Arabidopsis thaliana: one gene and its partner. The protein of the gene in region 2 purifies or fractionates together with the protein of the main gene of each other region. This does not show direct contact. Each region holds a gene or a part of one and is shown on either strand. Other genes may lie near its edges.

What was found. The genes of interacting proteins can lie anywhere in the genome.
Region 1: the proteins of GRF1 (region 2) and AT1G36240 purify together in Arabidopsis thaliana (affinity purification with mass spectrometry, with the first as the bait; one study listed by BioGRID). This does not show direct contact.

What each region holds. Positions count from the first base shown.
Region 1 is NC_003070.9:13,612,887-13,617,002, reverse strand, and holds AT1G36240 (Ribosomal protein L7Ae/L30e/S12e/Gadd45 family protein), read right to left. Parts: upstream 2,114-4,116; coding exon 2,093-2,113; intron 2,012-2,092; coding exon 1,906-2,011; intron 1,825-1,905; coding exon 1,723-1,824; intron 967-1,722; coding exon 898-966; intron 811-897; coding exon 770-810; downstream 1-769. Other genes in the region: AT1G36230 (uncharacterized protein), read left to right, coding at 2,952-2,976, 3,093-3,174, 3,502-3,572, 3,646-3,723, 3,808-3,924, 4,022-4,116.
Region 2 is NC_003075.7:5,773,069-5,778,121, reverse strand, and holds GRF1 (general regulatory factor 1), read right to left. Parts: upstream 2,913-5,053; 5' UTR 2,736-2,912; coding exon 2,244-2,735; intron 2,167-2,243; coding exon 2,044-2,166; intron 1,953-2,043; coding exon 1,836-1,952; exon of another isoform or gene 1,751-1,835; coding exon 1,684-1,750; exon of another isoform or gene 1,478-1,683; intron 1,333-1,477; exon of another isoform or gene 1,123-1,332; coding exon 965-1,122; 3' UTR 641-964; downstream 1-640. Other genes in the region: TL29 (ascorbate peroxidase 4), read left to right, coding at 74-211, 290-424, 510-620. UniProt on the Arabidopsis thaliana protein: Is associated with a DNA binding complex that binds to the G box, a well-characterized cis-acting DNA regulatory element found in plant genes. Involved in the regulation of nutrient metabolism.

The sequences.
Region 1 (4,116 bases), on a different chromosome or scaffold from region 2:
AAATGATAACAATGTGTAGGAAGATATCTAGGAAAAAGATTTTATATCGTTTTTTTCTTTTTGTCATCCGAAAAATTAATTAGGGCTCAAACGAGCCAATCTTGAGGGTAGTTGTTTACAAATGTAATATGAATCGGTTGGGTATGAACTTTTCGTGCCAAAATATCCGTTTTAACATTAGCACTACGAGAGATTAAAAATAGAGAAAAGCTTGTGAACTCATCTTATCGCTCTGTAACCCTCCAAATACGCTGAGAAATTTCCTAATGAAATTTTATATGGTATTTTCTCATGAAATTTTCAATTTATATTTCAATTTTTAAGAAATTGTTTTATATGACACTAAATAGTAAATATGGTGTAGAGTTGAGATTATTGAGGGACACATGTATTAAACTATTGGTAATAGATCCTACCAAATCTAAAAGAATTAGGTTTATTTTGAGAAAACTACATAGATTTCTTGTAATATTTATTTTAGACCTAAAACATGTGTTCATGCCAATGTTAACTATACATAGAATTACTTTTTTTGTCAACCTATATATCATATATAATACTTAGTGACTGCAGGAATATCATTCTAGTATTAATTCAGAGAGTCGAAATTTTCAATTACCACAATTGTTTAGAAACCAAGACAACCTACAAAGTCTTCAAAGATCTTAAACAAGTATGACAATTCTAGACGAGAGAAGAAGAAATCACGAAGAAACACACTACTTCGAATAAAGTAGATAAAGAGGACAAAATGATAATTAAGCACAAATCACTGGTCTCCAGGAAGCGACTTGATGATGTCAGAGTCACCTGAAAATATTGCATAAGTAAACAAACCAAGATTAACATTGCATGTGTAAGATGATTATTCTAAAAGACAATGAATGAGTGTGTTACCTGGGTCAACTATGCTGAGGCATGACACACGGAAGTATTTACCGCAGGCAGTACCAAGATCAACATTGTCTAAAAGGAACAAGTACAAAAAAAAAAAATCAGGCAATAAAATAACATAGTTGCAGAGACTCATCAAAAATAAACAGTTTCTGTAGTCTTAAGTAACATAATCAAGGTTTACAAGACTCTCAAAGAAAAAAGCAAGTAAGGAACAACTTCTGAATCACTGGTTCTCACTGAAATTGGTCGCTAATACCAGAAAACATAAAACAAACAATCACTGGTGCAGGAGGAAACTGATATGATATAAGTGAGTTCAGGCTTTTACACCATTTAGTCCTTACATTAAAACAACTACAAGGATCACCCTAATGGATTTGTAAGATGCAAAATTACACACTCTATCTACACAATCCAACATATACAAGACTTTCAGGAACATATCATTTAAGTATTAAGTGCATTCCTATTGGGGAAGTGCAAACAGTGTAAAGAATTGGTCACTAATACCACATACACACAGAACAATCATAGACCATAAAGGAAACTAATACAATGACACCAAACTGTTTCTACTAAATAATTTGCAACACTACACTCTCTATCTATACAATACGTACACAAACTTGGGAACAGATCAATTCAGTATTGGAGCATTTCAAATGGTGAATGAGAAGAGCTTCACTGTCAAATCCCACAGAATAATTTGCATTTCCACAACTATTTCTACTAAACAATCCTAACTACATTCAAACAAAACTGTTGTACAATGATACTAAACCAGTAAGGACAAATGTATAGTCTTTGTTCATGAAAAGAACTTACTTCTATTGTAGTGATGAACTCCAACTTTAGCAAGCATAGCATAGTACTCAATCTCAGATCTCCTCAATGGTGGGCAATTGCTAGATATCAATATCAACTTACCTACAACACAATCAAACAACAACATTCAAAAACCAATAGCTTATGAATCAATAAGCTAACAGAGAAGTTTGTTTCTAATACCTTTGGAACTGCGAAGAGATTTGAGAACAGATTTGTAACCAAGAGTGTATTTGCCACTCTTCATCACCAAAGCCAATCTGCTGTTGATTCCTTCATGGGACTTCTTCTGCAAGAAATGGATTCAACAAAAAATCAGTACACTCAAAAATTTCATGGATTGTGGAATTAGATCAGAGAAAAATCATACCGTCTTCTTCGCTGCAACCATCTTCGCCGGATTTTGACTGATAAGATTGAGAGAAATGAAACCGGAGAATCAGAAATCGGTGAGGGTGGAAGAGAGGAATTGTGTGAAAGAGATCGGAGATTTTTTTTACCTTCGTTGCCTTTTAGGGTTTGGGTGGCGCAAAATGAAAAGTGAGAAGTAGAGAAGAGAGACTAAAGGAACCTTTTAGGGGTTTTGAGAGATTCACTAATTAGGCTTAGGAAATTGGGCTTTAACGGACTCTTTCTTTATATTTTGCGTAGAAATATATATATCTTTTTTTCAAATTCAGTAAAATTTAGTTTTAATTCTTCAGTTTATTATCAATGACTATGAGTATGAAATGGACCACTATAAACATAGTTATTTTCGTATTTTTAAATTAATTTTTATTATTATGTAAAATATTATTTAGTCCAATATTATTAAAGAAATTTGGTCAATTTTACCACTTTTAACCAAAATGTTTTTATTTCTAAAGTTATTTACAAAAAAGTACTAAAATAATTGTGCCTTTCGGAAATAGGCACTCCAACTTATGTCTTTCGGATTTGAGTATTTCTCTCTTTGTAAATTACTCTTTCATCTCTCTCGCTATCATCATTCACACTGTTCCTCAATATGTCTCTCACCTGCTTTTGTGCTGTCTACGAATAAAAATCTCCACCCTAAACCTACTTCTTCACTTATTTCCTACCATAGCTCTCTGATTTCTTCATTCGATTGCAAACGCAATTACCCACCCCAGTTCTTGTCCAATGCGTGCCATTTTTTCTCTACACCATCGCCATTGTTCTTATTTCTGGCCTCCATCAGGTGATCTTGGTTTTAATCGACTTCGATGGTGACAACAAGGAGTTACCGGCGTTAGAATTCTAACTCGCGTTCCTTCCCACCCTCCGTCAAGCGAGTCAAACCCTACTTCTCTTGGAAACTTCTGCCAACTTCTACTCCTTCTCGAGGGCGTCGTAGTACTTGAAAGGGGGACACAGCTGTACAGTTGTTGATCCAGCGAAATTCGCAAATTCTGCTTCGGATCTCGACGCAGAAGATCTCAGTTGCAGGTATTGCCTCGGATACATCCTTCTCCTACTACTAATTTTGTTCATCTCCCGTTTGTCAATTTTGCAAACATTGCGATTTTTCTATAATTTGGCACAACAATTATGTTGCCTCTAGTATTTCTGATTGCATCTCCTATTATTAGTGGGACTCAATTACATCCCCATTCCTTCAAATTTGTTACTTCTTACCACTTTAATTTGCCTACATATTCTAACAGCTAATTTAACTAGTTATGCGTAATGGTGTTCTTTACAATCTAACGTGATATTGAAAATATTCTTCTTGTGTTACTAAAGTTTCCTTTATTGTGCCCTCATCCATTCCAGTAACTCCAACTGCAACAGAGATGTTTCTGTTTCACATGAGATAAGTGTTGATAGTGATGTGTCGTCTGAAGGTTAGGTGTGACAAATTTGGGGTATGTACACAATTTGCTTGAAAAGTTTTATATATGATGTGTGTTCTTGCAGCTCCGTCTGATGGTGATCCCAATCTTACCTCATCTAATGTAGATGCCATATCTGAAAATGGACATCGTTCTTCTGAAGGTTATAAACCTTGCTTTATTGTTGTTTCCTCTTCACGTTGTTTGCATTATATCAATATTTCTATTTATTTGTTCCTTCTCGTAGCAACAACAAACATCTCTAGCCCGCTGACCTCATCTAGTCAAGGTGGTTCTGTTGGAAACGGAGATGATCGGAGTGAAGCTGCCATGAGGGCTGACAGATATATTTTATCATCAGACGGTTAGAACCAGCATTTAGTGAATGATGTGCCTAATTTTGTCGGCTGCTTAACATGTCTTTGGGCTAATGTTTGTCATTTTAATGTCTTTATTTGCAGGCCCAACGCAGCATATCAACGGTCTAAGCTCATATAATGACGGTTTAACTGATAGAAATGTAGATGAGAAGTGTGAAGGTGACAAAAGTGTTGAT
Region 2 (5,053 bases):
CAATGCTATCGTATTCGCTTTTGAGTCGCGGCGTTTTGTTCAAATCGATACTGAACCGTTGTGAATCTGTTAGTGGGGATTGTTTGATAGAAATTTTGGAAGGAGTGATGCAACAGAGGCTGATCCAGAAGGCAGAGTCCCACAATGGGGGAAAGCAACTGTGCAAGAGATGAAAGATAAGTTCATTGCTGTTGGATTGGGTCCTCGTCAGGTACATGATTTTCGGTTTAAACAGAGAATTATCTACTAGGATCACTCGAAGTAACTAACCTGTATGAGGAATTTGTAGCTAGCTGTAATGTCTGCATTCTTGGGTCCTGATCAAGCTGCAACAGAACAGCTCTTAGCTACTGACCCTCAAGTTGCTCCATGGGTTCAGAAGTATCAAAGAAGCCGTGAAACCGTATCTCAGACTGATTACGAGGTTCGTTTTCACTCGATTTGCCTTAATCATATATTCATCTACCTCAAACTCAAGCTCATGTTTTGGTTTATGAATATGTTTGTAGGTTGATCTCATAACTGCATTCACAAAGCTAAGTTGCTTAGGACAGCAAATCAACTTCGAGGCATATACATATCCCGTCGAACGGATCAATCTGAGCAAACTCAAGCTATAAGCTATGTACACTATATGTATAACATGAGAGGAAACTTCGAAATAAACCAAAGATTTTTCTTGACATTGAAACAAAAAGAGAAGTTGAATCCATTACAAACAAAGACACAGAAGATAGGAGTCAAATCACGATAAAATGGAAACAGATAAACGAAAAATAATAGGAATCGAGTTTTCGTATCCACGGTTGAGAAAAGCAGCAAAAAAGGACAAGAATTAGACTGCCTTAGAGAGCTTGGGGATAAAAGGAAATAAGAAACCAACAGAGAAACACCTCCAAGAGAAAAACATATTAATGGAGAGGTTTTAGATACTGAAATGACAACAAAGTTGCGGTAAGACGACTTAGGATTGTTGCTCGTCAGCGGGTTTTGCTGCTGCTGGTGCTGCTTCTTTGATGTCATCAGCAACATCGTCCTGATTGAAAAAAACATTTGACAAGATCATCATAATCAGAATCAGACCACAAGAAAGAAGGATTGAGGAATGTATCAAAATGTAAACTAAGCAACAACTTGATTTCCAAATCTAGTCTCCCTCAATGGCATATATCTTGCTCATGGTTTCAGAAATCACAAACAGGCTTAAGCAAGGCATAAGGAGGAATGCATCAAAATGTAAACTAAACCACTTGATATTCAATTCGTGTCTTCCTCAATGGCTTAACAAGGCTTATGATTTCATAAATTAAGCAACAAAACAGGATTAAACACATTTGACAATCACTAAAATCAGAATATGACCAAGAGAATGCATCAAAATGTAAACTAAACTGTTTGTTTTCCATATCTAGACTTCCGCAATGGCTTAACAAGGCTCATGGTTTCAGAAATCAAGCAACAAAACAGGCTTAAATACATTTGACAATCACTAAAATCAGAATCAGAGCCAGCAGAATGCATCCAAATGTAAACTAAACTGTTTTATTACAAATCAAGTCTTTCTTAATGGTTTAATTATAGGCTAAAAGTTTCAGAGATCAAGAAACAAAAACGTTATTCGTTCATCAAGCAACAAAAACAAGCTTATAAGGCCAAAATATAATACCTAGCAAGATTACTAACACAGTTGACAATCACCAAAATCAGAATTAGACCAGAAGAATGCATCAAATAAACTTGATATCCAAATCTAACTTTTGTCAATGACTTAATTAGGCTCATTGTTTCACAATTCAAGCAACAAAATCAATCATACAGGAGCCAATATATAATACCTGCATATCAGAAGTCCAGAGAGTGAGGTTATCACGAAGAAGCTGCATAATCAAAGTACTGTCCTTGTATGACTCTTCACCAAGAGTATCCAATTCAGCAATTGCTTCATCAAACGCCTAAATAAATCCATAAACAAAAACTCATCAAACACACACATAAACCAACAATACATAATCATATAAAACATCCCTCAGATGAGATCCAAACCTGCTTAGCGAGATTACAAGCACGATCTGGAGAATTGAGAATCTCATAGTAAAACACAGAGAAGTTCAACGCAAGACCAAGACGAATCGGATGCGTTGGAGCCAATTCAGAATTAGCAATATCCTACACAACAAACCAAAATTTCAAAAACCTAAATCACACAAAAATCAAATCACAGATCGGAGAAAGAGATCAAAAACCTGAGCAGCTTTGTAAGCAGTAAGAGTATGTTCAGCAGCATCTTTCCTCTCTTGACCAGATTTGAACTCAGCCAAGTACCTATGATAATCACCTTTCATCTTCAGATAAAACACCTTCGAATCTCCAGAAGCAGCAGCGGGAACGAGAATCGTATCGAGAAGCTTAAGGATTCCGTCACAGATATCAGAAAGTTCCGTTTCGATTTTGCTTCTGTAGTCACGGATCAACGAAACGTGGTCATCGTTACCGCGAGACTCCTCCTTTTGTTCGATCGATGAAATGATTCTCCACGAAGCACGACGAGCTCCGATGACGTTTTTGTAAGCGACGGAGAGGAGATTACGTTCTTCGACGGTGAGTTCGTCTTTGTCAACAGCTTTCGCGACTTTCTCCATGAATTCAACCATTTCTTCGTAACGCTCTGCTTGTTCGGCGAGTTTCGCCATGTATACGAATTCATCTCTTGCTGAGGAAGCTCCTGGTGTCGCCATTGTTGTTTAGATCGGAGAAGAAGATGATGAACAAAGTGAGGAAGAAGAAGAAGAAATGATTCTCAGATCTGAGAGAGTTTTTTTTTTTTTTTATCGGCTCCGTGGATTTTTGTTTTTGTTTATAATGAATGAGTGGGGAGCGATGATTACGGATTGTGAGAAGAAAGGAGAGCCGTTGGATTGAAAGCTGGCAAAAACACGGATTCGTAACGAAAAAAGGCGCTGGCTTTTCAGATACTTTTTAGGTCAAGTTTGAATTTTCAATGATTGGAAAAGGGTATTTCTGGAAATTACTTATTTAATGGGCTTTTTTCCTGCGAAACGGGTTTATTGAATGGGCTTTAAAGCCTATTTTACGGATTAACTCATTTGCGCGTGGGTGAATTAATTATTGAATGGCCCGAATAGGCCCAATAAATATAACGCTTGTATTTTGGTATACTTACTGATTTCATTTTTAATCGGATATCCGATATGAAATATGAAAAATAGAAAATTTAAAACCCAAAGATGGCAATATTTCATTAAGATTTCTTTAGCTGTTAATCTTTAGTATTTAAATATTTAATTTAATGAACGTAATTTCATAAAATTTACAAACAAATACGTCAATCATCGTAAATCTAGTGAGCCGACATCGTTAATTTACAAATATTATTATAAACATTTAATTATCTCTTTTTAAAAAAAAATTAAGAGGACCAACTGTTATAATAAGATATTATTATAAACATCTAATTATTTTTTTTATTTTTTTTATTTAAGAAGACCAACTGTTCTGTTTTGGATACTCATAATTACTATATTTCTAAGGCTATAAGTCCTCATCACTTTAGTAAAAATAAATTTTGTGGATTGGTTTCATCCCCTCTATTAGGAACATGGACAACATCCATTTGCATGTCAAGAAGGCTTTGCATGTCTATGTAAGTAAGTTTTATATTTATTTGAAGATCTCGGTTTTTTTTTTCTTTTTTGTGAGATCATAATTATAATATTCGTGTATTTACTAAAATTTAATTTCTCTATGAAAAAAACTATTTGCTGAAAATAGTATGCACAAAACGTACACACATATCGTTGTTAAACAAGCAAACATGTAGAGTATCGATTAAACGACATATGTATATACACAATTTTCCTGAAGTTAGGATTTTATCAAGATTTCTTTCAAGTTTGATCTTGCAAGGTAGAGAGAAAGCCTCATAATTTGGAGTCACACTAAAGACAATGATAGGTCTTTGAGTCAGAGATAATGGAGTTTTAGGTTGAATAACTAATGCTCTAACCCCTCATATTGGAGTTTCAGCTAGGAACCAAAACATTCAAAAGGAATCAAACACATGGAGAATACACAAACGGTGTTTAGGATGGATATAATAGAGATTACAACCTTATCGAGATTCGCTTTAGGATGCATAAAATAGTAGGAGGCAAGAAGTCAAGAGACTTTCATGGGCATCGATGTAGAAAAAGTTCTCTGCCACAGAGGAAAAACAATTTTAAGGTCCTAGAATCTACATTTCATTAAGGATATATAGTAGAACCGCGAATGTGGTTAAAATTAACCGTTGGAGTGAAGAATTGGATAGGCTTTTGCTTTTCAAACATGAAATCAACAAAGTCCTTTGTAGTTGGGCATATAAGATAGATTCATCTCAGAACTTCCTGGCTCCATCCCAAACAAGATGTTGTAGGACTTATTCCAACGTGTTCGTTGTTTATCATCTAGAAGCGTAAACATGAGAAAAGAGTAAGCATAGATTATAAACAAAATCACAAAGTTTCTAGATTCCACATAACGCTAGGAACTCATCAATAGAGAAGCAGCAACTAAAAAAAAAGCTCACCTTTTAATTTCCATGTTTCTTTCCAAAAACGATCAGTGAAATTACGTATAGCTTTAATTTTTCCCCAAAGCAAGGATTGAATCTTGCGCTAACAACAAAAATGTTCAAATTTTAATAATTATGGAACAAATAATCAAAATATTCATAATTTAATAGGTCTTGCGCAAAACTATCTATTTTTACCCACAATAATAGCATGTATATGGGTGATACTCATATGGTATCATAAGGAATTTTTAAGTATTATTTATAATGTTTGAGATTTTTTATGATACTCCTACTAAATATGTTTGCACTAGATATTAACCCGCGGTATACCGCGGGTAAGTTTATATTTTAGTTAAACTAAAAATCTTTTTTTGTAAAGATGATTAATAAATTTATGATATTATTTTATTTGATTTTAAATATATAATACACTGCGAGTTGTATATGTTTTGTTGATATTTTTTATATTCTTTAATGTTG